Cricetulus griseus: one gene and its partners. The protein of the gene in region 7 binds, or shares a complex with, the protein of the main gene of each other region. Links are inferred from orthologs where the notes say so. Each region holds a gene or a part of one and is shown on either strand. Other genes may lie near its edges.

Region 1 (3,942 bases), about 170 Mb from region 7:
GAACCTGCTAGATGGGAGGGGAAAAAACAAACAAACTTTTGCCCCCGCCACACGCAGGCTGCTGACCAGAATTTGATAATTCAAAACAGCTGACCCTACCTTTCCCCTTCCTTCCATTTCCTCTGTGCCTTGTTTTAAAACCGGATACTTGTCAGAAGCCATGAGGTCTAACCCCAGCCAATGGGGAAAACACACAATCACCAAATTAAAAACTACGTGAACAGCCTCCTTGAATGTGCTTGTTAGCCCCTTTGGGTTCTGGCACACCCTTTTCTTTCTTTCTTTCGATTTATTTATTTATTATGTATACAGGGTTCCATCTGCATCTATGACTGCATGCCAGAAGAGGGCACCAGATCTCATTACAGATGGTTGTGAGCCACCATGTGGTTGCTGGGAATTGAACTCAGGACCCCTAGAAGAGGAGTCAGTCAGTGCTCTTAACCTCTGAGCCATCTCTCCAGCCCCCTTGGGGCACCATTTTCAAAAAGAAATGCCTTGCTGAGTTATTGTTCGTGTCATCTTTGGTGAGGTACCAAGATTATTCTTTGGTTTCTGGTATAGGCAAAAAGTGAGCCACACACCCCCATTCAGGGCCACTCCATTTAGAATGACACTGGACCATTTTATTTCCCTTAAAACAATGTGTATTTCCTACCTCTCCCGTTTAGAATTTAATTTTCAGAAACCAGGTGTGGTGGAACACGGCTGTGATCCCAGCTGAAGGGAGGCTGAGGGAACCATCAGGTGTGTTCACTGTCCTACCTTAGCGATCTAAGCAGTGGCCTCAACAAAAACCAGAGCGAAGGCAGGGCGCAGTGAACCACAGCACTGGGGATGCAGAGACAAGCAGATCTCTGAGTTGTGGGCTAGCCTGGACTACAGGGTAAGCGCAAGCCCCCTAGCACTAATGAGGTTCAAAACAAACTCGTCGAGTGGAGGACGAACACCCCACGCACGCGCAGCTCACTTTAAGTCGGCTGTGAGCAGCGTGGCTCCGCTCTTCCGGTCCAAAGTCTCAGAGGCGGGTTTTCCGACCGTCTGGTGCTGTATTTCCGGCATGGACCGGAAATTCCTCTGAAGTAACTCCTCCGGAGTTTACGCGGTGTGGTGTGCTGTGGCTGTCTGGTCCTGGAGCCGTTATGGGCAAGAGAGACCGAGTAGATCGCGGTAAGGACTCCTTGTAACGGTCATTGTCTCAGGGTTTTCTCCTGTCTGTGGGGTCCAGGAGATGCGGTACCGAGCCGGGTGGGAGGTGTTTGCGGGACTCCTGGGGGACGCCGGGATACAGAGTGCTGGTTCAGGAGAACTTACAAGTTCCCCTGTGCGGTGCCGTGTGAATCCTAGAGTCCTGCTGGACTCACTTCTCTGTCTTCTGTCGCAGACAAGAAGAAGTCCAAAAAGAGGCAGTATGAGGAGGAAGAGGAGGACGAAGACGACACGCCTGGGAACGACTCTCAGGAGGCAGTGCCCTCAGCCGCTGGGAAACAGGTGGACGAGTCCGGCACCAAAGTGGATGAGTATGGAGCCAAGGACTACAGGCTGCAGATGCCGCTAAAGAGCGATCATGCTTCCAGGCCCCTCTGGGTGGTAAGCGTGGCCCAAAAGTCTGGGTGGCAGCTAAATCTTGGACATTCCCACACCTCCAAAATGCAAGATTCAGAAATGCTGCTTTTCTGAAACAGCTGGAGAGACTGCTGTGCGTGCAAATTGGAATAGCTGGGGTGACCTGGGCGTTCCCCAGTTGTCCCCAGCCCACCACACAGTGGCAAATGCCTAATAGCATTGTAGACCGGCTAGATAGTTCAGCAGGTCAACAGTGAGACCTGGGTCTGTACCAGTACCTACAAGGTAGGAGGAGAGAACCGGTTCTGGCAAGTTGTTCCCCGACTTTCGCCATTGGAACTGTGGCATGTTTGCACTCACACGTACACATACACCACATACAAACAATCAATAAATGTACAAATAGCATTTACTTATTCTTTGTGTGTGTGGTCTATGTGCACACATTGTGCAGGTGTGCTCATGGGGCTGCTTATAGAGCCCTGAGATTGATGTCAGGAGATTGTCCTCAATCACTCTTCACCTATTTGCCCAGCTCCCTCTTTTGGCTAGACTGATTGGCCATCAACACTCCCCCCGTGCGCCCCCCCCTCGGCCCCCTCCCACCTCTTCCAGCTCATGGTTATAGGCAATGGAACCCGGCTTCTTTGCAAGAGCAGCAGTGCTCTTAACCACTGAACCATCTCTTTGGCCCCCTTTCAAGTTAATGGAAGACATGTATTTGGTAGCTGAGTTTGCTTGACTTAAAATACATAATGTTCTTCACTCATTTTCATTCTATCTAAAAGGCAATTTGAGAATAGTAAGTTAGAGAAGATTTCTGTATATGGAACATTGGAAACCTGTTTTTTTCTCTGATCTTCTATGTCTAAGAATATCTTTAGCACTGGACAGCTCATCCTTTTTGATATAATGATATGAGAGTCTAGTGATCTGCAGCTCATTAATAGTCTTGCCTGCTGTGTTTACTTGTTGTTTTTAGGCTCCTGATGGCCACATTTTTTTGGAAGCCTTCTCTCCAGTTTACAAATACGCTCAGGACTTCCTGGTGGCAATTGCAGAGCCAGTGTGCCGGCCTACTCATGTACATGAATACAAGTTAACTGCCTACTCCCTCTATGCAGCTGTCAGTGTTGGGCTGCAAACCAGTGACATCACTGAGTACCTCAAAAAGCTCAGTAAGACTGGAGTCCCTGATGGGATTATGCAGTTTATTAAGGTGAGTTGCTAGCAACTCTAATTATCTTGATAATGTGGCTGTGGTGTGTTTGGATATTGTATTTTGCTTTGAAAATGCAGCCTGGTTTGTGTCTCCTTTGGTAGTACAATAGCTTTTTGCCTAGCTGCTGCTGCTTTGTATCCAGCTGTGGTTCTGGCTGAGGCTATGCTTCCCATGAGTTGTCCTAGCATGGGGTAATGATTCAGGTTCAGTCTAGCAAGGGTTATTTGGGAAAACAGCTCTGAATGGTTGGCAATATAGACTGCATTTATATGTGTGTATCTGTGTGTGTGTGTGTGTATTGAAATCCTAACCACGATATACCTGTATTTGGTAAGCTTAAATGAGACCATAAGAGTGAGACCTCCCAGTCAGGAAGATACTTGTCTTAATAGAGTTGTCATAAGTCCCTTCTTCATGGGACTATGTAGAGAGAAGGTGGCAATCTACCAGTCAGGAGACCTGACCACAAACTCAATCAGCTGGTCCTGGTCCATTGATCATGAACATCTAGAACTCTGAAAAAGTAAATCCTTGTTGTGTGGTTTTTGGTGACTGACTATTACAGGTAGTGAGCACCATTTAAGGTTAAATACTTAACTCAAGACCCATGGTAAATGAATTCTACTAGAGAAAGTCAAAATTTCAAATGTTGAAGTAAGGAGAGTTCCATGGGCACAGCAATTGAACATAAGTGAATATTAGGACAGTAGTTTTTGTTACCGTTGGCTAACATCTGGAGGCAGAATACCAGGGACATCCACTCCCAGAAAAGCTTTGGAGCTCTACAGAGTTCTCTGTTGTTGTGATATAGAAGGATGCCCAAGGAGAAATCACCAGGGCTAGGCCCAGTCTTAGTGGGAAGCTGCCTATAAGGATTATGGTGCTGGGGCAATTGGACTCTTACTAGCAGATTGGGGTCGTCACCAGGAAGCTTACATTGTGCTGGGCATGGTGGCACATGCCTCTAATCCCAACTGTCCAGGGAGGAGGATTGAAAGTTCAAGGCTAAGCTGGTCAGTTTATAAGAACTTGTCTTAAGATTTAAAATAGAGGCAGTGGTGGCTAGGGATGAGTTCATTTGCCAATACAATTTTTTTAAAAGCTGGGTTATTTTGTTTTGTCTTGGTTTTTGTTGTTGTTGTTTGTTTGTTTTT
Region 2 (3,500 bases), on a different chromosome or scaffold from region 7:
CTCTGTTAACCCTTTGAGGGCTGTTGTGCAGTATAGTAAAGAACGTCTGCCTTAGAAGTCCTTGCTTAAGACAGATACTACAAAGTCTGAAGGTCCCAACCTAAATATACCAAAAATGCCAAATAGGGTAGGCGGTATTTAGAGGGGTCTAACTGCAGAAGAGGCTCACCATCTTATGGTCATCATAGGACACTGAGCATAATGAATTGTTTTAAACATTTAACCAATTAGAAGGCCTGTAGTTAACAATACTTCATTAACTTGGTGTCTCTTCTTAGCGCGCTTCTCCAGTACCGTCTGTAAGCTTAGGCTTTTGTGACTGTTGCAGACACAGAAGAACACCAGAAGTTGGGCCTGAGCGTGTTATTTGAATTCCTTGATTTTGCCGGATGCACTAAGAACATAACTGCTTGGAAATACTTGGCAAAGTGTCTGAAGCAGACATTAATGGAGTGAGTAAGAAACAGTATTTTTCACTGGCTTATCATAAGTAATAATTGCCACATTTTAGTGGTTGCTTTTAAAGTTTTTAACGTGATGTTTTCACATTTCCTTTATGGGCTACTTAGCTCTTTCTTTTCTGAGTATCAGAAGCTGTGAAATACAAAATCATAAGCCTAATTGAAATTAGAAATCCTGTGCATGTATTTTGTGTTAGCAAAATCAGCCCTGCATTTTTTTTTTTTTCCTTTTTTTGGTTTTTTGAGACAGGGTTTCCCTGTGGCTTTGGAGGCTGTCCTGGAACTAGCTCTTGTAGACCAGGCTGGTCTCGAACTCACAGAGATCCACCTGCCTCTGCCTCCCGAGTGCTGGGATTAAAGGCGTGCGCCACCCTCACCCGCTATCAGCCCTGCATTTTAAAGTGTCTGATGCTGCACTTGCCAAGCATATTGTGAGTGCCACATTCTGGGTGTGAGAAAAGACGTGGCTCTGCTCATGTATATTCTGGGTGTGAGAAAAGGCGTGGCTCTGCTCATGTATATTCTGAGTGAGGAGCCTGTGATTGGAGATGGAGGGTCTGAGATTTCAGTCCAGGGCTTTAACTTGGTGTTCATGCTGTAGGGCATGGGCTCTGAGGTGGGCATGGGATGTGGAGACCAAGAAGAGTGAACGTGAGCTTGCCTCCATGCTTCTGTAGTCGGGGCTTGTCCCGTGCTGTCTTAGAGACCTCCCACATTGAGCTCCTGCTGACAGCTTCCCCTCACTCACTTGCCCTTTTCCCGTGTTTCCTTGCAGAGGCCATCTGGTATGGGTTGAAGAAGAGTGGATGTCTAGAAGAAGCTGGTGGCCCACCTTTCACTTCAGCTTCTTCTGGGCAAAGAGCGACTGGAAGGCAGATGCTGACTTGGCGTGTGAGAAAGCTTTTGTAGTGGGAATCCTTTTAGGAAAAGGTCTGTGGTTTTGTTCTGTTTATTTGGATGTAGTATTGGCCAAGTCTGAAGCTAGAAAGTGGGCCGGTTTGTTCATCTTGTCCAGTATGATGCCTAGGGGTTTTAGGTGCTTGAGAAATGACAGGACTGAGAGTGTGAGCCCTCAGCAGGATCGTGATAAGAGCTTATTCGGGGTCCTGTGAACTGTGCGGTTGGCTTCTATGCCCTGGCATGAGTTCGGGACATAAAATGCACTGTTCAGACTCTTGGGCCTTCCTGTGCAGGTTTACTGAGCTTATGGACAGTGTCACAGAAAGCACAAAGATGCTCTTAGTTGACCTCAGTTATTCATTAGCCTCTCCTGTCCTGTAAGGAATGCACATCCCCTCCACCCCCACACCACCCCAAAAGAAAGAATACCACCTATTAACAGCAAGTCTTCTAAAAAGAGGAAATTGGTCTTTTATTATGGGATATTTTGGCCAGTAAAATGCTTACCTGCTTTGCACCACTGAAACATGAGTGGTGGAACACACTGAAATAAAACTGCCAGGAAGTACATCCAAAAGTATGAAAGGAGTGCTTCAGTGAGCACCGGGAACCCTGTGCTCATGAGCTCCCAGAGTTCGCCTGGTTGTGGTTTGTGTCAATGCCTAGTGGGACCCTGAGGCTACACCATGTGCAGTGCTAAGAGGGCGTCTCTTGTGGAATGAGAATTGGTGTGTTTCTTGTAGTCACTAAGATTAGGAAAAGATTGATTTTATGAGAAAAGGAGGATTAATGAGAACAGAGGTGAAAAATGCCATTTCTAGTCACACACTGGTGATGGCACAGAAATGGGCTTGCCTGCAGTGCCTCATCACTTCCTGGTCTCTGAGCACAGACCGTACAGACGGCTCAGGGTACTGCATCGGAGCAGAGTCTGAAGGGACAGTTTCCAGTCTTCCTGTCACTTAGATCAAGCAATGACATTTGGTGGCCTTCTGTGTGAAATGTTCATTGTAAACATGGCTCTTTCCTTATTTGCTAACAGACTTATAAATACCAAGAGATCATCTCCTGGAGGGCTCTATGAATTCCCAAGTATTCTAGAATTATGAGACATGTTTTTTTCTTGAGAATGGGCACCTTTCTTCCATCAGGGTATGTTCTGGCATTGAGCTGAGTTTGCTTCTCACTCTGGCCACCACTGTTACACCTTCACAGTCCATCTTGGTCAGCTTCTGCTTTGTCTGAGAAAGGGTGTGACAACTGTTGTTCCTCCCATGCTGTGTGTAAAGCAAGGCAGGCCCTTTTTCTCTTTGGAGGGATCTTTCCTTATAGTTAGCAACCCATTGCCTTCCACCTTAAGCTCTCTTCAGGTTTATGCAGTTGTTGGTGTTAGGACAGGGTGAAATTCTATCTGGTTTTCTGTATAGGTAAAAGCAGAGATCTGGTTGTATTTAACTTTTACTATAAAGTAGTTTATGAATATAAATTAGTGCCTTATTTCCAGATACTTAGGAGGCTGTGGTGGGAGGATCTTTTGAGGCCAGGAATTATATGCAAACCGAAACACCACAGATTATTTTAGTAACACTATGGGCACTATAGGCCCCACCACTAGCATGCTGTCTCTGAGGATGGTAGGTGGGTTCTGTAGTTATGGTGTATAACCTAGTATTTTCTTAGGAAAGATAGATGTTTGTCAGCTGAGGATATAATAAAAATAATTTTTCATATGATTTATGATTGTTTTAATATATGATTTAATATAAATAATCACAGGTAGGTCTGGTGGTACAGGCCAGTAATCCCAGCCACTTGGGAGGTTCAAATAGGACAATTCCAAGTTCAAAGCCTACCTGGGTTATACAGTAACTTCAAGTCCAGTATAGATAGGTAACTCCATGGTACCCTTCTTAAAACAAAAAGAAAAAAGAGGCCTGTGGCAGGTACTGAAGAGATGGCTCAGTGGTTAACAATGTTTGCTCTTCTCACAAAGAAGCCAAGTTAGGTTCTCAGCACCCACATTGGGTGGCCAACAACTGCCTGAACTACACTCTCTTCTGGCCTCTGTAGGCACCCATAAATATGTGATGTGCACACCAGCATACATAAGTAAAAACAAAAATAAATGCTTCAAATCAA
Region 3 (4,134 bases), on a different chromosome or scaffold from region 7:
CCTGCACATGAACTAGAAACATAAGGATAGAATTGTTATTGCTCTTTTTTTCTTTGTAAAAGCATAACTCCAAGTTGAGAAAAAAAATCAATAGTGCAAATTATGTGAACAGACCAGGTAATTTGTTTTTAGCACATTCATTTTAAGTTCTATATATCTTCAAGGATGAATTTAAAAACATCAATGAATAAAAGTTCATCCCCACAATGTAACTGCAAATAGTACCACTTAGAAATACATTCTTGGATGCCGGGAGGTGGCTATGAGTGGGAGTACATGAAGCTTTCTGGAGTATGGTGATGTTCCACTTTTCAGCCTGAGTTGTTACGGGGCTTTACTACGAAGCCCACTGTCTTCTGGCTCCAAATGATCCTGTCTAAGCTCTGGGATTACAGGCATTTACCAACCTACCAAGCTTAAAGAAAATGTTTTCTCTCATGCCTCCTGATCTGAGGTCCTAGGCTAGGGGTTTCCTCTAGGACTTCATAATCCTGCATCCTGCTTGGTCCTTTCCTTCCCATAGCTGGAAAATGATGTCCTTGCTCTCAGATCATTTCTCCAGGAATTGGTTCTCACCATTCCATTCTGACTCCTAAGTCTAGCATTTTCACTCTCTTCACTTACTAGAGCAGTGGTTCTCAACCTTCTTGATGCTGTGACCCTTTAGACAGCTCTGGATATTCATGTGGGTGTTTCTGCATGGGCATGAACTCATGTGGAGACTGATAGTGAAGGGACCAGCTTCCCTTTCAGCAGCCATAACAGCCGAACACATGCTTGCCATAACCTTGTCTTGGTCACTTAGAGGTCAGATGCCTGCCTAGTGACAAGGAACCAATCAGAAGTTAGTCACTAGAAAGTCAGATGCCTGCCTCGAGACAAGGAACCAATCAGAAGTTAGCTGGTGGCGCTATACTTTATGACCCAGGGTGTGCTTTATGGATAAGCACTCAGCAATGACGCACAAAGCATAGCAACCACCCTGGGAGGGCCTATGGGCCATAACAACCAGTTGGCCAATCAACACAGGGCAAGCCCTCCAAGGCTGGAGGCACACCAATAGTGAGCCTGTGCATACCCCTAGACACTCCCCTTACGCTGCCCTGTAAGATCTCTTGGGAGACCCTAGGAGCTGTCTTTTGCGAGCCATCTGCCACGGCGGGTGGGTAAAAGACCCGAGCTAACATGGGGTTAGCTTGTTAAATTACAATAAAGCCTCATGCAGTTTGCATCAAGCTCTCGAATCCGCCTGGTGATTGGGGTGACCGAGAATGTGGCCTGGGACCCCGGATACCTGAGTTTTCCGGGGGGTCTAACATTTGGGGGCTCGTCCGCGATTTGCGACCACCCTTCACCTGAATGGATTCGATCTTGGAGGTAAGATGATTCGAGCTCGCAACTTATATGTTCAATGTTATATGTTTGCTTGTTTTTGTTGGTTTGGTGCCACTTGAAATTGCTCTTTTGTTGATCTGAGCCTGCGCAGGACTCGTGATTTGTAATTTGGACTTCAGGGGGAAATAGACATATTTCAAAGTCCCGTCCTGGACAAAAGTCCGAGGGCTATTTGAATTGAACCATAGGGTAAGCAGACGTGCACAGAAATAGACGTATTTCTGGAATCCTTGGTTCCGCCCTGGATGAAGTCCAAGGGTTGTTTGTAATTTTGGTTTGGGGCACCATTTCTTTGCCACAGGGTTTGTCCTGTCTGATGTCCTGTTTTGCTGTTGGTGTCTGTTAAGCCTAGAGGATTGGAATGGGCTGGGTGACTGAACAGTTGAGCAACAGGTTTGTTATCTGTTATCTGATCTGTTGCAGCCCACACCCTAACCGTCTGCTTGTGTGTCAATTTTACTATTTCTGTTAATTTTGTGGATATGGAGGTCCTATGTTGGGGTTTCTGGCGACATCTGTGAGTAGGCCTACAAGAATTGTTTAAGGCGGAAGTTCGGGCGGCAGCCTTCCGAAATCTATAGGGGAGACTTGGTTTCGAACCAAGTTGATCTCCACGGGGCTAGCCATCTGAAATTCCGAATAGGACCCTAGTCTGTGTTAAACATCTCTTTCTGTCCCTACTGCCCATGCACATGGAATGCATGGGTCAGGGGTCTTTTCTTGATGCTCTGAGCACATGATGCCACCTCAACTGTGATCAGCAGATGCGCCCGGAGGACAGACTGCTGCTCTGAGGACACCCAGGAGGTACGAACGGAGGCCAAGGACTTGGATCCTCCTCAGTTAGTGATGATTGTAGCCGCTGGGTTCTGCAGCCCATCTTCCGTCGCCATTGCCTTATAAGCGGCGCGGGCGGATTGGGTTGGCGTCTGTTCTTTCCTGTCTATTCTGTGTTATCATCATTGGTTTTCAATTCAGGATCCACCACACCACCCCCTTTCTATCCCCACCTGCGGGTCTGTGAGGCATGCCAAGTGGGGCTGTTTCTGCCCCAGCTGCCATCCTGCCTGCCAAGGGAGTTTCCCTGCTCTGAGGGAACATGGCTGCAAGGCCCGCCATCTGCCTGGCTGCTCGGCCTTCTCTGTGCTCCACACACATGGTATGCAGGGGGACCGAGGGGGTCTTTATCCCATTATCCCACCCCTGCATTGGCCAAGGGTCTGGGGTTACCACCAACACCCCCACCCCAGGTCTCTGCCTTGAGCACATGGAGCTGGGGCGTATGAACTTATCTGGCCTGATCCGGACTTCTAAAAAAAAAAAAAGGCCTTAAAGTTATTAAAAGTTATTAAAAACTGTAAAAGGGACTTTGATAAAAATTTTTACATTGACTGAGAAATGAGAGAAAATGTAGGAGACTTAAATAATAAAGAGAAAAAGGAAAAAGAAAAATTTGTCTAAGAATGTCTAAGAAAATCAGAGGAAAGAACTATAAAAAGTTATAGAAAGTTAAAGCAAGTCATAGAAGGTCAGAAAAGAGATTATTAAAAGAGAAAAATGTAAACTGTTTGCTATGGTTTCTCATGTCAACAAATAGTAAATTTTAAAAATGGTAATATAAGTTAAAATTTTAACCATATTAAGCTAATTCTGTTTTTAAAAAGTCCTGTTTATTTCTCAAGTAATTTATGTATACTTGTTTTAAAATGTTCTTTTTCCTGGTATAACCTAAGTTCTGTTACAAGCATGTTAAGCAAAGGGTGCAAGTTATGGCCATTTTGTAACCAGCCACATGGCAAACTGGTCACATGGCTGACTGGCAGCCATTTTGCTGAAGTTGAAAAAAGATACTTAAACCGCCATCCTGACTAAAGATGACCGCGTGGAAATTAGAGGTTCCATCTTAGAAACAAGCTTTTCAGTTAAGATTTAAAGTGTTAATGCTTCTATATATTACAGAAAGATATTAAGGGAATTTAAATTTCTTTTTAAAACCAGTTTTTTAAATGTTTATTTTTATTAATGTTTGTACTTAAAGAGCTTCAATTTAAAATTATTTTTAAGCAAAGCCTGACAATGTAAAATTCTTGTTTTATAAAAGCTGCTAATCTATTATAAGATGTTTATCTTTTCAGAAGTTAAGTTTAGGGTGTTGGTGGCACACGCCTTTAATCCCAGCACTCCAGAGGCAGAGGCAGATGGATCTTTTTGAGTTCAAGGCCTGCCTGGTCCAGCATATTGAATTCCAGGACAGGGTCCAAAGCCACAGAAAAACCCTGTCTCATTTGAGCAAGCAGCTAAAATGTGTACTTGTAGCTACTGTTTAAGGACTATAATGTAACCCTATGCAGTCTTAAATTCAGCTGTGCTAAGTTTCAAATATTTTACTAAGTTAAAACCAGTTACAGTCAGGCTGAAAATTAATTACAGAAATGAGACCTCACCTAGCCACCTGTATGTTTCTTGTGTGCTTAAGGTGAAAGACCCCTGCCCCTTAGCCCTTTCTTTCTCAAGTTTGTCTCCTCTTCCTCCTGTCGGCGGCTTCCCCGATCCCCACCCCCGGCGGCTTCCACTTCCCCCGCCACCAGCCGCACGCCCAGCCCGAGAACGAGCACCAGGTGGGCTGGCCCGAGAACGAGCACCAGATGGGCTGGCCCGAGAACGAGCACCAGGTGGGCCGGCACGAGGGCAAACACCAAGTGAGCCGGCCTGGAGCCCGGCCCCTGAGCCCCCGCCCGA
Region 4 (4,119 bases), on a different chromosome or scaffold from region 7:
AATTTCTCCCAGATTAACCAATATACACATGAAATGATGTTTGACACTATTAGCCTCTAAGGAAATGCTAATCAAAATCTACAAATAGATGCAATTGTACAAGTGATAAGATTGATACAATCATAAAATAGTAAGGATGTTGCTAGAGGGGTGTTAAATTGTACAGCTCACTTGAATAGTTTCACAGAACTTCACAAAGTTAAGAATGGAGTAAATGACACAGAAATTCTGTTCTTAGCCCTGATACTTAAGAGAATTGAAAACATGCCCATACAAAAACTGATACCGTAGGATTTCTATCCAGAAGTGGTTTGGGGTGGCTTCTTTTGGCGTAGGGGGTTGAGTAGGATAGCCTGATTCCTGCTGGCCGTCCCAGTGATGAACTTGACTTATTAGTAGCTCGGGGCTGTGTATGGTGGCTTTCAATTCCAGCAGTCTGGAGGAGGCAGGTTGATCTCTGTTTATGCTAGACTAGCCTGGACTACAAATGGAGTTCCAGGACAACCAGGACTACAGACAACAGTGGTTCTCAAACCTTCCTAATGCTGCGACCCTTTAAGACAGTTCCTCATGTTGTGGTGACCCCCCAGACATAAAATTATTTTTGTTGCTACTTCATAACTGTAATTTTGCTACTGCTGTGAGTTGAAATGTAAATATTTTTGGAGATAAAGGTTCGTCAAAGGGATCGTGACCCACAGGTTGAAAACCGATGGCATAAGAGCCTCTGTCTCAAAAGACCAATAATTGGCTGGATTGATCGATCGATTGATAGATAGATGAGATAGATAGATAGATGATAGATAGATAGATGATAAAGAGTTGGGTAGAGAGAACAGAGGTTTAGGATCCAACAGCTGCATTTCGGTTGAAGCCAAGACGCCAGAGTCTCTTAGGGTTAGCATCAGGATGTAATCAGAAAACTGCCCAAAGCAACAGAAGAGACTCTTTGAAGATAGTTCTATCGGTTCTAATCGACTGATTGAGCAAATAAAGGCCACAGAAGTTACACACTAAAGTGCAGTGGGCTTTAGCAAGGTTTGCAGGATACATCTGGAAGAAGAGGCTAATCTGTCTCTGTGTGTAGTTTTCAACGGCCCAATAAGCAACAGTTTTGGTTCCCAGTCGGCCCTACAAAATGGAGGGACCCAGGGTGTGTGGCGGGGGGGAGGGGGGGGCCGGAACAAGAGGAACTACATTTCCCAGCAGGCCGTGGGGTCTGCGACTCCGGCCATTTCCTGCCGGCTGCAAGCGGAGTTGTGGTTCTGGTCTCCGGTCCCGGCTGCGAGTGGCGTCGCCGGTCTCGGCTTGGCAGAAGCATGGATCTCGACGGCCGGTGGCGGAGCCTGCCTAGTGGACCGAGCTTAAAGCACTTAACCGACCCGTCCTATGCGATTCCTCCGGAGCAGCAAAAGGCGGCGTTGCAAGACTTGACGCGGGCGCACGTGGACTCCTTCAACTATGCGGTGCTGGAGGGGCTGAGCCACGCGGTGCAGGTGAGCGGCGCGCCCTCGGCTCCGGAGCCCTACCGGCGGCCCGAGTGGGCCCGGAGGGTCCCAGCGGTTGAGGAGGTGGCCGGGAGGCCGCTGTACGGCTTTAAACAGTGACGTGCACTCACCGTGCAATGCTTTGGGTAGCTCAGAGAGAAAAGCGTTTCGTTGCTACTTGTAGCCGGTTCCCCAGTTAAGAGGCCTCTCAGGTTTGAGTGCTCCTCTTGGTTGTTGATTGTATAGAGAGAGAGGTAGCAGCACCAGCAGGCAGTCAATGCCAGTACTCTTGAGAACTGCCCTAAAATGTAGCGTTTACTGAGTCAGGGGCAGGAGGGAAGTGCGACTAATCCAGGTGTTTAGAAAGCCCACCTTTAGACAAGGTCAAGGAAAGAGGATGGTTCTTCCCTACAGGGGGAGGTTAGGTACAGGGAGAGCCATGTATGTAGTGGACACTACCCTGAGGTTTTGTTGCTGAACAATTGCGTTGTGAGAGATGGGGATGGAGATGCATTGGAGAGCTTTGACTGCCAGATTGAAACTTAAAAGTATGGGAGTCATTTGGAATTCTTTGAATTGCCAGGCTTCAGTCTGAGGGAATAAAATGTAAAAGCTTAGTATGAAGAATGGCGCTAAGAGCATCTGGTTTCCCTGTTCTTGCCCAAGAGCAGCAGTTCTCTCTGTCCTGCTGTATGGAGAAGGTAGACTTGGCTCAGCCTTTTCCCGTATCTGTAGAGCCTGCCCCACAATCAAATGCAAAGGCCCCTAGTGAATGGTTATGTATAGTTAAGTAGTTGGCGAAGTTACCAGTTTGTTGTAGCTTTAGTTGTCCCTTTTAGATGTGTTCCACTGACGTGATAGACATCAGTGAGTATAGACATCGAAGAGTCTTAGTGAAAAGTGCCTTGAAAAATGCAAGTGATTTAGTAGTACGAATTGTATTTCAGGCCATACCTCCCTTTGAATTTGCTTTCAAAGATGAACGAATATCTCTTACTATTGTGGATGCTGTTATCAGTCCACCCTCAGTGCCCAAAGGGACCATCTGCAAAGAGCTCAACGTTTATCCAGCCGAGTGCCGGGGCCGAAGGAGCACCTACCGTGGGAGGCTGACGGTGAGCATTAATGATGTGAGGTGGCTGTACTGCACCATTTTGAGACTCAAGCTAATGTCTTATAAGGTTATAGGAAAGGTCTGCTTTCTTAATGTTGCAACTTAAGGAATTGTATCTTTTGAACCTAACATGTAAAATCAATTCACTATGGCCCTCTTTCTTTTCTTAGAATACTCACTTGTGGGGATGGAGAGATGGCTCAATGGTTAAAGGCACTGACTATTTTTTCAGAGGACTGGGGTTTGGTTCCCAGCACCATGTGGTGGCTCACAACTGCCAGTAACTCCAGTTCCAGCAGATCTGATGCCCTCTTCTGGCCTCCACTGGCCCCAGACACACATCTGGTACATAGATATACAGGAAGGCCAAACATTCATGTACATAAAATAAAAATAAATACATCTAAACATTTAAAAAAATATATTCATTTATTCTTGCAGGTCCAGATAGTCTATTTTTTCTTTTGTTTTCATGTAGGCTGACATCAGCTGGGCAGTGAATGGAGTCCCCAAAGGGGTCATTAAACAGTTTCTTGGCTATGTTCCCATCATGGTAAAGTCTAAACTTTGCAACTTATACAACCTTCCTCCTCAAGCCCTCATTGAGCACCATGAGGAGGCAGAGGTAAGTGCAGGGATCTAGGTGGTGGGGAAACAGGAAGCTTGCCAGTGGAAATCAGTGTTTCTGACTTCTGATTTCTGGCTGTGTCGTATGGAGTGTTGATACTGTGCCTGAGTGCTGTGCATGACTCTTCCTCCCATCTATTGAGGCAGTGGAGAAAGCAGCTATACATTAAATGTTGTTTCTGGCATTGTACTAGGAGGATTTTTCCCCCTAGAAATCGTTTTCTTTTCCCTTTCCCTCCCTCCTCTTCCTCCTTCCCTTTTCCTCTTTCTACTTCCTCTTCCTGAACATGTTTGCTCATCTGAAACACAAGTGTGCCATCAGGCCACACTCCCAACCCAGATCTTCTTTTGTTACCTTTCTTTCTTTCTTTTTGGGTGTTGGGGTAGGGTGGGTCTTGCTATGTAGTCTTGGCTGGCCTGTAACTCACTGTGTGGATCAATCAGGCTGGCCTTTAACTCACAGAGATCCATCTTAATCTGCCGCCTCCCTCCCCCCACAGACACACAGTGCTGGGATTAAAGGTGTTGTACCACCAAGCCTGGCTCTTTCTCAATTTGGCCACGTGTAGAGGTCACAGGATCAGCAGGCAACATCTGAGGAGTTGGTTCTCTTCTTCCATCATGTGGCTCTCAGGGTTTGAACTCAGATCTTCAGGCTCTACAGCAAATATCTTTCCCCACTGAGTGATTTTTCTGGTCCTAATTTTTTGAATTATACATGTTCAGAGGCATACTTACTCACAAAAGTATTGTAGGAACTGTTTTTACTTACAGTAAAATTCCCTGAGCTTATTGAATGACTGACCCATGTCCCTTTTTTTCGTGGTTTCTCCAGCGGTGTGAGGCAGTTCTGGGTTACTGAGCTGAAGTAGTGGGAGTGTGCAGACTCGA
Region 5 (3,500 bases), on a different chromosome or scaffold from region 7:
CACACATCCTCCGTGCTTAGCAACTAGTCCCGGGGCTGAGGTTAGAGTAGTTAAGTCATGCAAGACACAAGTTAGGGAAATGACCTGGAGTTGACCCTCTTAAATACGAGATGATGAACTTTAACCAGCTCCTCAAAGGTAATTTGGATTAACTGGAAAAAGGAAACATTTTGTGATCATAAAGTTATGGAACACTAGCCTGTCTGGATATGTGAGCCACAAGCTTGTCAAGAAAAATAAAAGATGCTATATGGTTTTATGGTGGCTCTTTATAAAGGGGGCGGGGGGAGAATTACTCAACGTGGTGAGAACCTGGCCTTCAAATCTCACACTTGGTGTTTTGTTTGTGGTTGTCTTTGTGTTCTATGATGTTGCCTGGTATGGAGAAAATAGGAATGAGAACCAAGGGTTCTCTGTGACACTTTAATCTCTTTAGGCTAATTGAAAACTTTAACAGACAAAAGTTTTGTCAGTATGAGTGAACCCCTGGGTGACAGTATCACACTAAATCCTGGTGAATAAATAACAAGTGAAATTAGAAGCTCATGGGTAAATTATATGATTTCTGTCTCACGAGTACAGCAATACCCTTTGTTGAAAGGGAGAGAAAATTGCATTTTAAATTAGAAACAGGTTTGGGATATAGCTTACAGACAGAACTTGCTCAGCAGTTTGAGCCCATGGGTTCCACCCTCAGAAATGTAGGCTTTTCAGTAAGTCTGCAAGTGTATCTTGGAGCTCTGGATGCTACTGTTCCAAGAATTGGAGAGGCCTGCATCTGAATCCTGCCCTATAACTTTTGAGCTATGGATAAATTGGAAACTTCTAAAACAAGCAAACAATTGTATTGTGGAGCATCGGGGAAAGTGTTAGTTAGCCAAAATGGCCAGGGAGGACTGACTTTGCAGGGAGATGAACGAGCTCTGGGAAGTGGGGTAGATTAGCATAAGGTGTAGAAGGGAAGAAATGCTAAACTTCACTCACATTTGGCGAGTAGCATCAGGCTGGGGCCCAGCAGTGCACAGGGGATGTCGAATAGGACTTGAGATGAACTTTGGTGATAGAGCCAAGAGGATTTTCTGATGGACTAGAGGTGGCTTAGGGAGACAGGAGTCTAGGATGACTATGAGGTTCTCAGGCTAAGCAGCTAGAAAGAAAGAGCCACCTTAAATGGATGATCAGGAGTTGGGTTTGGGACATGTGAAGTTTGAGGTGGCCGTTAGGCATCCAAGAGGAAATGTCATGTATATAGTGAGACATGGTCTGCCGTTGAAAAGATCAGAATGTAAAACTGTCCCTGGGCGTTATAATCATCAAATCTGATGCGTTGTTGTTTGTAAGACACACTCTTCCCCGACTTAGACACAAAGTCTCAGGCGGTCCCTGCTGGCCTCAGACTCATTCATTATGTAGCTGAGGATGACCTTGAACTTCTAATCCTCCTGTCTATACCTCTTTTGTGCTAAGATTACAGCATCCATTACCATGCGTAGTTTGTGTGTGGGGATTGAATCCAGGTTTTCCTGCAAGGTAGGCAAGCATTCTACCTCTGCACTACAGCTTCTAACCAAGTCTTAGTTAGGGCTTCTGTTGTTGTGATAAAACATCATTATCATAAGCCAGCCTTGCTGTGTAGTCAAGGACGACCTTTACTTGCCTCCACCTCCCAAATGCTAGACTGACAGTCATAGGCTGTGGTGCCCTGTTTATGTGCAAAGGGCCAAGCCAAGGGCTCTGTGTATGCCCAGCAAACAGTCTATTAACTGAGCCACATCCCCACGCCCCTGCATATGTCATTCCCTTCACTTGACAAGAGAGGTACTTCTGGAAGCAGAAGACCTGGGTGTGTGTGTGTGTGTGTGTGTGTGTGTGTGTGTGTGTGTGTGTGTGTGTGTGTGTGTGTGTGTGCTAGCAGACAGTCTCCCCACTCACCCTTGTTTGCAGTCCTCTCAAGGAAGCATTACCAGGTACTGTTGGGGAACAGTTCCCTCAGGAAGGCCTATAATAGAAGCTAACTTTTAAACTCTAGCAGTCATTTCTGTCTGTTATTTTATGGACAGGTATTGGGAGATAATCTCCAGAGTTCAGACTGTGCCAGTGAACTTGAGCTGCTAAGTGACACCACCCTTGAAAGTGGAGCAGAGTTCCAGTCTGACCCCCAGATTCCAAAGCCTTTCCCACTTGTCAAAGCATCCCCAAAGTCAGGTAAGGGGTGAGCCCATCAGAGAAGCATTTATGTGTTTTCTGTGTATGTATACAGAGTATTCGTGTGACAGTCAGAGGGCAGCTCATGGGAGTGTTCTCTCTTCCACAGTGTGGGTCCCAGGTCTCTAACTCAGGTTAGAGAGCTAATGGCTAACTCTGGCTGCTGGCTTAATGTATAGAATCTTTTTTTTTTTTTTTTTTTTTTTTTTTTTTTTTTTTTTTTTTTGGTTTTTTCGAGACAGGGTTTCTCTGTAGCTTTGGAGGCTGTCCTGGAACTAGCTCTTGTAGACCATGCTGGTCTTGAACTCACAGAGATCCACCTGCCTCTGCCTCCCGAGTGCTGGGATTAAAGGCGTGTGCCACCAACGCCCAGCTTTGATGTATAGAATCTTAAAGCCTGCATTTCATCCTAAGAATAACAGAGTCCTGCCAGGTGTGGTGTGATGCAATGCCTATACTCCCAGCACTTGGGAGCTAGAGGCAGGAGACTGCTGCCAGGCCTAATGACCTGAGTTGGATCCCAGGAAACCACATGGTAGAAGGAGAGAACTGACCCCCCCCCCAAGTTGTTCTGTGACCTCCACGTGCACACTAGCATGGGTCCTCCCCCAAAGCATGCATGCACAATATGAAAGTGAAAAATAAATGTAGTAAAATCAACCACAGCTCCACATTTCATCTCCACACAGAATTTACATAGCTGGAGTCACTCAGTCTAGTGAATCAGTCAGGTCACAGTGACCACCAGGCCGAGTGTGTGTGTGTGTGTGTGTGTGTGTGTGTGTGTGTGTGTGTGTGTGTGTGTATGAAAGTGTGTCTCATATGCGGATTTTAGACATAGAGTAAAGGATTACCAGCCTACAGTCCACACTGCCAGAGATACTAATAAACAAGGAAGACCCTAAAAGAGACAAACATTGTCCCCTAGAGAAGGGGAAAGGGTCACCATCCCCTGAGCAAATTGAGAGCATGGGAAGAGGGGGGAGGGAGCTATGAGAATGAGAAGGGAAGAAGAGGAAGGATGCAGAGGTCATGAGGGAGCAGAAAGGTTGAGTCAGGTGTAGATTAGAAGAAAGGATATGTGATAGGTAGGGTTTTAGTTGGGGGGTGGTAGGGGAGAAAGGGAGGGAGAAGGGAACTGGGATTGTCATGTAAAACAATCTTGTTTGTAATTCAAATAAAAAAGAAAGAAAAAAAAGAAAGTGTGACAGTGTGACACAGTATGTGTGTGAGAATGTGAGTGTATGTGTGACAGTGTGAGTGTGAATGTGTGTGAGAATGAGTGTATGTGTGAC
Region 6 (2,385 bases), on a different chromosome or scaffold from region 7:
GTAGCCAGTGAGAAAGCAGCCATGGATAGGCCTGGCTGGTGGTGGGATGTAGAAGGATCTAGGACACAGACCAGGTTTTCATCACAGTGGCTTTTCTAACCCAGCCCAAAGTCATGAGCCACGAGTCCACAAAACCCAGCTTCAAGCAGCTTAAGGGAAAAAAGAATCGGTCATTGGTTGATCTTAGTTACAGCTCATCCAGGTTTTCAGAATGTTTACAGGGCTCTCTTTTCTCATCCACTTCCTTCTGTCTGACTTAATTCAAGTAGCAACAGGATTATTCCAAGGAGTTAGTATCCAAAGTATCACAAATCCTAGAAAAGACTGGTTGGTCTGGCTGGATCCTCCCAGCTCTCTGTGGCCCACTCACTAGGAGGTCCTGAAATATTCAGGGTATGGGGTCCAGGAACTGGGTAGGGTGTTTTCTAGGGAGTTGTCAAAGAGACTGCTTATCCTTCACTGTCCCAGTACCATCCTCTGCTGCATTGTCCCTAGGTGTCCTTGGGCTTTCCTTAGCCACCGACTACGTCGCTTCTCCATCCTTGGGGGTCCTGTCCTGAGCAGTTCAGTGTCATTGCTTTTGGGGAGGCTGCTGCATGAAGAGCTGGCTATGCGGTGGGAGCAGTTGCTGCTGGATGAGGCCTTCACCGGGGGTGCCTTGGCCTGGCTTCCTGGAAGGACAGCACGGGCTGGACAACTGGTCTACCCTAGTGGAGGTGCCTTGGACAAGCTGAGTATCCTTTCTCATGTGGTGGGGATCCTGAGGCCATCCACAGAGTGGTCCAGGGGAAGAGTTAAGACGGGTGACAAGAATCCATCCCAGTCCTTAACCAGGGGCTCAGATTTCCAGGAGGTCAGTGTGAACTCAGGTGGCAATCTCAGGGTCCTTGAGGACCCCGGGCACATCCAGCTGCGGGGACCTGTACGGCAGGTGGTGACCAGCACTGTCCAGGGAGAAAGTGAGAGTCTTTCCCTTGCATTCTCCCTTCCCCTTTTCCTTCTTGTCCAGCTGGCTACCATCCCAGCCAGTGCTATACACACACTCCAAGTCTGACCTTTCTGTTCTCCCCAGCACTTCTGGCCGTCCGCTCTGACTACCACTGTGCCATATGGAAGACTGATAAGCAGGGGCCACCAGCATCCCTGCAGGTACTGCAGGTGGAAAAGGGGGCCACTGGTGTTAGCCTCAGGTGAGAGTTTGTTGGCTTCCTGGCAAGGATAAGGGCCCGAAGGAAGTGCTGGGTTGCTGGATCATAACATAACATAGCGTCCTGTGCCCTGTAGCCCTCACCTGCCAGGAGAGATGGCCATCTGCAGCCGTTCTGGAGCTGTGTGTCTATGGACCCCACAAGATGGGTAATTCTCCTTTCCCCTAAAACCTTCCACCCCAAAGCAGAACCATGGCCTTCTGCTCCATGGCTCAGTCTTCCTTCCAGCCCAGCCCAACACCCTTGTGCCCCCAAGCCCCACCATACCCATACCCATGACCTGCCTTCCTCAAGGCTGCAGCTGGTCTACAAGGACCCTGAGACGCTTGCCTTCCGTGATCCTTCTCCCTGGCGCTGGGTAGACTTCACTGCTCATCCCCGGGTGCTGACTGTGGGTGACCGCACGGGTCTGAAGATGGTTGACATTCAGGTATGGGTGAGAGGGGTTAAGAAGCAATAGAGCCAGAAGTCATGGGCTGTAGGAGGCCCATCTCCAGCCTGAAGACTGGCTGATTGTGCTGTTCTTTCCCTAGGGTCCCCCAGGCTGTGGGCTGCTGCTGTTCCGTGCTGGAGCAGAGGCTGCCTGCCAGAAAGGAGAACGGGTGCTGCTTGCCCAGTACCTCGGGCAGCCAGGTCCCACCTGTACCCCTCTGCATCTCATCTGCACCCAGGTAAGAAGCAGCCTCCTCTTTAGGCTCTGACTCAGGCTTCTCCAGAACATCTGACAACCAGCCTGATACACAGCCACAGGAACAGGGGAGTGTTGGGTCCCCATGCATGTGATCTCACTAAGGCAGGCAAACTGGGTCATCTGCAAAATCAGATCAGAACCTGGGAGGAGGCAGAGGTTGACTGTTGCTCAGGGTCCCAGGTGGCATGAGAGTTTACCATTGGGAGCAAAGTTTTCTTCATGCTTCTAATGAGAACACTTCTGGGATGGTGCTGTCTGCCCAGGAAATATACGTGTTCCAAGTTTGGTAGGCCAAGCTTGAAGGCTGATGGGAGTGCCCTCCTCTGAGTGTTGGGTACCACCTACAGACTGTGTGGCCTGGAGAGGGTTATTGGAAGATTGGTGCCAGGCATCAGCCATGTCCACCCCTTCCCTCTTCCTTAGTTCTCGATCTACCTGATGGATGAGCGCCTCCCCCTGGTGCCAATGCTCAAGTGGGACCACGGC
Region 7 (4,057 bases):
GGACTTGTCATCGATGTTTCTCTCTGTGAACTACTTCAGTCAGCACATGTACTTTTCTGGTCTGGGGATTTATGTTTTAAGGTTTATTTATGTTTGTGTGTGTGAATGTACGCCTATGGAAGCCAGAAAGGAGGCATCAAGTCCCGTGGCTGGAACTGTTCAACATGGTGATGGGCACTGAACTCTCACTCCCAGGAAAAGCAGCACGTGCTGGTAATTACTAAGCCACCCCTCCAGTCACCAACATAGTTTTAGCCCTATCATGAGGGGAAAGCCGTAAATCTGTGAGTGTGATGGCACACTCCTGTACTCCTAGCATTTGGACACTGGGAGTGGAAGACTCAGGAATTTAAGCCCAGCCTGGGCTACATAATGAGATTCTGTCTCAAGAACAAGAACAAACAAAATTTACTTCATGGCCGGAGGTATATACAACAAGCATGAAATCCCTGGGCATTAATTCCCAGGAGCAAAGCGTCACCACCATTACCCCACCCACCTCTGAGAAAACCACATTATTCTCTTTCCTCCAGCTACAGCCTAATTCCATGTTTGTTCCCTTATAATGGGGGGAGGGAGGGTAAAAAAAAAATAAGGCCCATGTGACATTGTCATTCTCATGGTCTCTGGTTACCAGGCTTCTAAATTATTTTTAGTTATGGTTAATGTGTGCATGATATGTGTTTGCACGAAGGCCCACACATACCACCGGGACAACCTTTCCCATTCTCTCCTTCTACCTCCGGGTTCCAGGGATCAAGCCTGGGTTGTCAGGCTTGTACAGTAAGCACCTTCAAATGTGGATCAATCTCATCAGCCTCCTATGGTACAAAATCTGTGAAGGAGCTGCCCAAACTCACTGTCTGCAAGTCTTCTCTTTCCTCGGCCATAATCTCACCTCAGTAAGACTTCCACCACGCCCGGGCAGTGGTGGCACACGCCTTTAGTCCCAGCACTCGGGAGGCAGAGGCAGGCAGATCTCTGTGAGTTCAAGACCAGCCTGGTCTACAAGAGCTAGTTCCAGGACAGCCTCCAAAGCCACAGAGAAACCCTGTCTCGAAAAACCAAAAAAAAAAAAAAAAAAAAAAAGACTGATCATCTTTTTTTGGGGGGTGGGGATGTTGATTGAGAGAGGGTTTCTCTGTGTAGTCTTAGCTGTCCTGGAACTCGCTCTGTAGACCAGACTGAACTCACAGAGATCCTCCTGCCTCTGCCTCCAAAGTACACCACTTCACTAATGATCGTTTTGTTGCTAATCCTTCCCACTCTCATTCACCTTCCTCTAACAGCTAGCACACCTGGCTCTTCCCTCCTGCTTCACACTTGGGGTGTGGGACTCCTCCTCAGCCTTTTCTGGGTACCCCCCCACTCCCCCAATCACTCACCACCCTGGTCAACACTCCCATCTTTGCTTTGCTTTCATTGTATTTTTGCTTGTTTCTGAGACAGAGTCTCACTCTGTACACTATGTAACTCAGGCTGCCCTGAAACTTGATAAGTAGCACAGACTGACATCAAGATCATGGCAATCCTCCTGCCTTAGCTTCCCCAAAGCAAGGATTACAGGTGTGAGCCCACCACACCCAGCTTCCGAGTTTTGGCTACTATATCTATTTTAGGACTCCCACAGTTTATCTTCTCTTATGACCTAACACATACAGCCCATCTGGAAATCCTTTTGGCTCTATTTTAAAAATATATCAGGAGCCAGGCATAATCCCAGTGCTATAAGAAAAAGGCAGGCAGATCTCTGTGAGTTTGAGGACAACCTGGTCTACACAGTGACTTCCAGTACAGCTAGGGCTATGTACAGAACCTTTGTCTCAAAATAAATAAATAAATAAAATATATCTAGGAGCTGCCCATGGTAGCATATACCTGTAAATCGCAGTGTTCCAGATATATGTGTATACCATCTCTTTCTCTCATATACATGTAGGATTTTGTGTGTGTGTGTGTGTGTGGGTACCAGGGGCCACACACAATGGTTCACACTTTAATCCTACCATTTGGAAGACAGAAGTAGACGACCTCTAAATTCTTTTTATCCCCTAGAGACAGGGTTTCTCTATGTAACAGTCCTGGCTGTCCTGCAACTCGCTTTGTATACCAAACTGGCCTCGAACTCACTGAGATCCTCCTGCCTCTGCCTCCCAAGTGCTGGGATTAAAGGCGTGCGCCACCACCACCGGGCTGTATCTCTAAACTCGAACCACCTGGTATACAGTGAGATTTAGTCTCCAAATAAATAAAATATATGTCCAAAATTCAGCTGGGTCTGTGGCACATTCAAAGCTAGCATTAGCTACATAGTGAATTCCCGACCAGTTTGGGTTTCAGAGTGGGACCCTGCCCCAAGCAACACTAAACCAGCGCCTGCTCCCAGCCTTCCAGGCCATCCTCTGGATTGCTTCCTCCTTCCTAGTTCCACGACTAAACGAACTACACTACCCGCGTTCCCTTCCAGAAAGGGGGTGCCCGGAGGGCACGGGCTACACGGGCTTAACTGTGCATGCTGCTCCGCGTTGCTCCGCGAGGTAGGAAGTTTAGAAGACTTCGCCCAACAGACCTAATATCTGGGCTAGCCTGTGCTCCAAGCGCCCCGCTCGCACCACGACCTCCTCCCCTCCGAGCCCGCGCTCACTTGTCCTCGTTGTCTGACATGATGCCTTCCTTGCCCGCACTGGCCGGTCCGGAAGGCAGAAGAGCGACGCGCGCCTCAGCGTTCCCCGGCAGCACTACGCGTGGTCTGCGCCTGCGCCGTGACCCAAAGGCAATCACTTCCGGGAGGCAGCCAAAGGCGAGTCGCTAATGCGTGTGCGTGGGGTGTATACGCTAGTTACCATAGTAACCAGATGCGCTTGGTGCGAGCACTAACACTCTGGCGTCCCCCGGGATCTCTTGGAGGAGGGCGCCGTCACGGTTAGGGTAAGCGCTCCGCCCGGGACCATCTCGATGGGGACTGTGGTGACTGCGCTGTCCGGAGCCGAGGGTTCGGGCACCCGCTTCTCAGACGCCCAGGGCGCTGGGGATGAGAGGTTGGGACTGCGACACGAGGAGGGCTGGTTATTGCTTCTCTCCCTCCTAGGGCCCTCCCATGGCTTCACAGGAGAGGGTGGACGCAGTGAGCAATGGAACCGGGTTCCAGCGCTGCGGTAAGCAACTCGCTTACACGCCGGGAACCTGCGAGCTGCTCAGAGGTCAGTGCTTTAGAGGAACAACGATAGGAGACTGGGATTCTGAAAGGCTCAAAGGACGGCAACTTTAGGAGTGGTTAGCTCATCTTTACATTGCACTTTCAATGAAGTTTATCTCCTCCCTACCACACACAGTAAGACCCTCTCACACAGTATCAGATCCAATTCCTTTCACTGGGCTTAGCACAATATATTGTTCTTATAGGCGTTTAGTTTCCCATCTATCACCTTTTTTTTAAAGATTTATTATTTTTATGTGCATTGATGTTCTGCCTGCAAGTATGTCTTTGTGAGGGTGCCAGCTTCCTTGGAACTGGAGTTAGAGACTGCTGGGAAATGAACCCAGGTCCTCTGTAAAACAGCCAACCAATGCCTTTTCCCTGAAACAGGCTTTCTCTGTGTAGCTTTGTCCTGGAACTCACTCTGTAGACCAGGCTGGCCTCGAACTCACAGAGATCCATCCGCCTGCCTTTGCCTAGAGTGATGGGATTAAAGGCGGTTCACCACCACTTCGTGGCCAGCCAGTGCTCTTTAAAAAATAAATAAGTTTAATTAATTTATACATAGTTATTTTTCTATTTTCAACTCCAAATATTGTAAGTAGCAACAGACTTTAGTTAGGCGTGGTAGCATAAACCTTTAATCTCCATACTGAAGAGAGGGAATGAATCCCGGTGTAGTGGAGCACACCTTTAATCCCACCAGCCAGTGCTCTTAACCACTGAGTCACCTCTTCAGCACCCCCCAGATATCACCTTCTAAATGATGAATGACACCAGACAAAGTGCCTGTTCCTGCTCACAATTGTGGCTTCAGCCTCTGATATGTAAATGAACATTAATACATTAATTTATTCAACA

What was found.
Region 1: Polr2f (region 7) and Ercc3 share a complex: the UniProt entries of both Homo sapiens proteins name them as parts of the TBP-based Pol II pre-initiation complex. The link is inferred for Cricetulus griseus from reciprocal best matches to the Homo sapiens genes POLR2F and ERCC3.
Region 2: Polr2f (region 7) and Taf1a share a complex: the UniProt entries of both Homo sapiens proteins name them as parts of the pol I pre-initiation complex. The link is inferred for Cricetulus griseus from reciprocal best matches to the Homo sapiens genes POLR2F and TAF1A.
Region 3: Polr2f (region 7) and Polr1h share a complex: the UniProt entries of both Homo sapiens proteins name them as parts of the pol I pre-initiation complex. The link is inferred for Cricetulus griseus from reciprocal best matches to the Homo sapiens genes POLR2F and POLR1H.
Region 4: Polr2f (region 7) and Polr1b share a complex: the UniProt entries of both Homo sapiens proteins name them as parts of the pol I pre-initiation complex. The link is inferred for Cricetulus griseus from reciprocal best matches to the Homo sapiens genes POLR2F and POLR1B.
Region 5: Polr2f (region 7) and Taf1b share a complex: the UniProt entries of both Homo sapiens proteins name them as parts of the pol I pre-initiation complex. The link is inferred for Cricetulus griseus from reciprocal best matches to the Homo sapiens genes POLR2F and TAF1B.
Region 6: Polr2f (region 7) and Taf1c share a complex: the UniProt entries of both Homo sapiens proteins name them as parts of the pol I pre-initiation complex. The link is inferred for Cricetulus griseus from reciprocal best matches to the Homo sapiens genes POLR2F and TAF1C.

What each region holds. Positions count from the first base shown.
Region 1 is NC_048595.1:205,106,278-205,110,219, reverse strand, and holds the start of Ercc3 (general transcription and DNA repair factor IIH helicase subunit XPB), read left to right. Parts: upstream 1-1,142; coding exon 1,143-1,170; intron 1,171-1,384; coding exon 1,385-1,590; intron 1,591-2,548; coding exon 2,549-2,785; intron 2,786-3,942. UniProt on the Homo sapiens protein: ATP-dependent 3'-5' DNA helicase/translocase. Binds dsDNA rather than ssDNA, unzipping it in a translocase rather than classical helicase activity. Component of the general transcription and DNA repair factor IIH (TFIIH) core complex.
Region 2 is NC_048598.1:11,083,342-11,086,841, reverse strand, and holds part of Taf1a (TATA box-binding protein-associated factor RNA polymerase I subunit A), read left to right. Parts: intron 1-328; coding exon 329-452; intron 453-1,236; coding exon 1,237-1,391; intron 1,392-3,500. UniProt on the Homo sapiens protein: Component of the transcription factor SL1/TIF-IB complex, which is involved in the assembly of the PIC (pre-initiation complex) during RNA polymerase I-dependent transcription.
Region 3 is NW_023276806.1:228,752,119-228,756,252, forward strand, and holds the start of Polr1h (DNA-directed RNA polymerase I subunit RPA12), read left to right. Parts: upstream 1-1,334; 5' UTR 1,335-1,377; intron 1,378-4,134. UniProt on the Homo sapiens protein: Core component of RNA polymerase I (Pol I), a DNA-dependent RNA polymerase which synthesizes ribosomal RNA precursors using the four ribonucleoside triphosphates as substrates. Can mediate Pol I proofreading of the nascent RNA transcript.
Region 4 is NC_048599.1:49,468,457-49,472,575, reverse strand, and holds the start of Polr1b (DNA-directed RNA polymerase I subunit RPA2), read left to right. Parts: upstream 1-1,319; coding exon 1,320-1,496; intron 1,497-2,434; coding exon 2,435-2,602; intron 2,603-2,771; exon of another isoform or gene 2,772-2,796; coding exon of another isoform or gene 2,797-2,979; intron 2,980-3,079; coding exon 3,080-3,226; intron 3,227-4,119. UniProt on the Homo sapiens protein: Catalytic core component of RNA polymerase I (Pol I), a DNA-dependent RNA polymerase which synthesizes ribosomal RNA precursors using the four ribonucleoside triphosphates as substrates.
Region 5 is NC_048600.1:27,154,602-27,158,101, reverse strand, and holds part of Taf1b (TATA box-binding protein-associated factor RNA polymerase I subunit B), read left to right. Parts: intron 1-2,060; coding exon 2,061-2,205; intron 2,206-3,500. UniProt on the Homo sapiens protein: Component of RNA polymerase I core factor complex that acts as a GTF2B/TFIIB-like factor and plays a key role in multiple steps during transcription initiation such as pre-initiation complex (PIC) assembly and postpolymerase recruitment events in polymerase I (Pol I) transcription.
Region 6 is NC_048596.1:196,235,005-196,237,389, reverse strand, and holds part of Taf1c (TATA box-binding protein-associated factor RNA polymerase I subunit C), read left to right. Parts: intron 1-495; coding exon 496-734; intron 735-842; coding exon 843-959; intron 960-1,072; coding exon 1,073-1,190; intron 1,191-1,284; coding exon 1,285-1,356; intron 1,357-1,502; coding exon 1,503-1,638; intron 1,639-1,741; coding exon 1,742-1,879; intron 1,880-2,322; coding exon 2,323-2,385. UniProt on the Homo sapiens protein: Component of the transcription factor SL1/TIF-IB complex, which is involved in the assembly of the PIC (pre-initiation complex) during RNA polymerase I-dependent transcription.
Region 7 is NC_048595.1:376,260,628-376,264,684, reverse strand, and holds the start of Polr2f (DNA-directed RNA polymerases I, II, and III subunit RPABC2), read right to left. Parts: upstream 2,801-4,057; 5' UTR 2,665-2,800; coding exon 2,645-2,664; intron 2,626-2,644; exon of another isoform or gene 2,508-2,625; intron 1-2,507. Other genes in the region: C2H22orf23 (UPF0193 protein EVG1), read left to right, coding at 3,098-3,200. UniProt on the Homo sapiens protein: DNA-dependent RNA polymerase catalyzes the transcription of DNA into RNA using the four ribonucleoside triphosphates as substrates.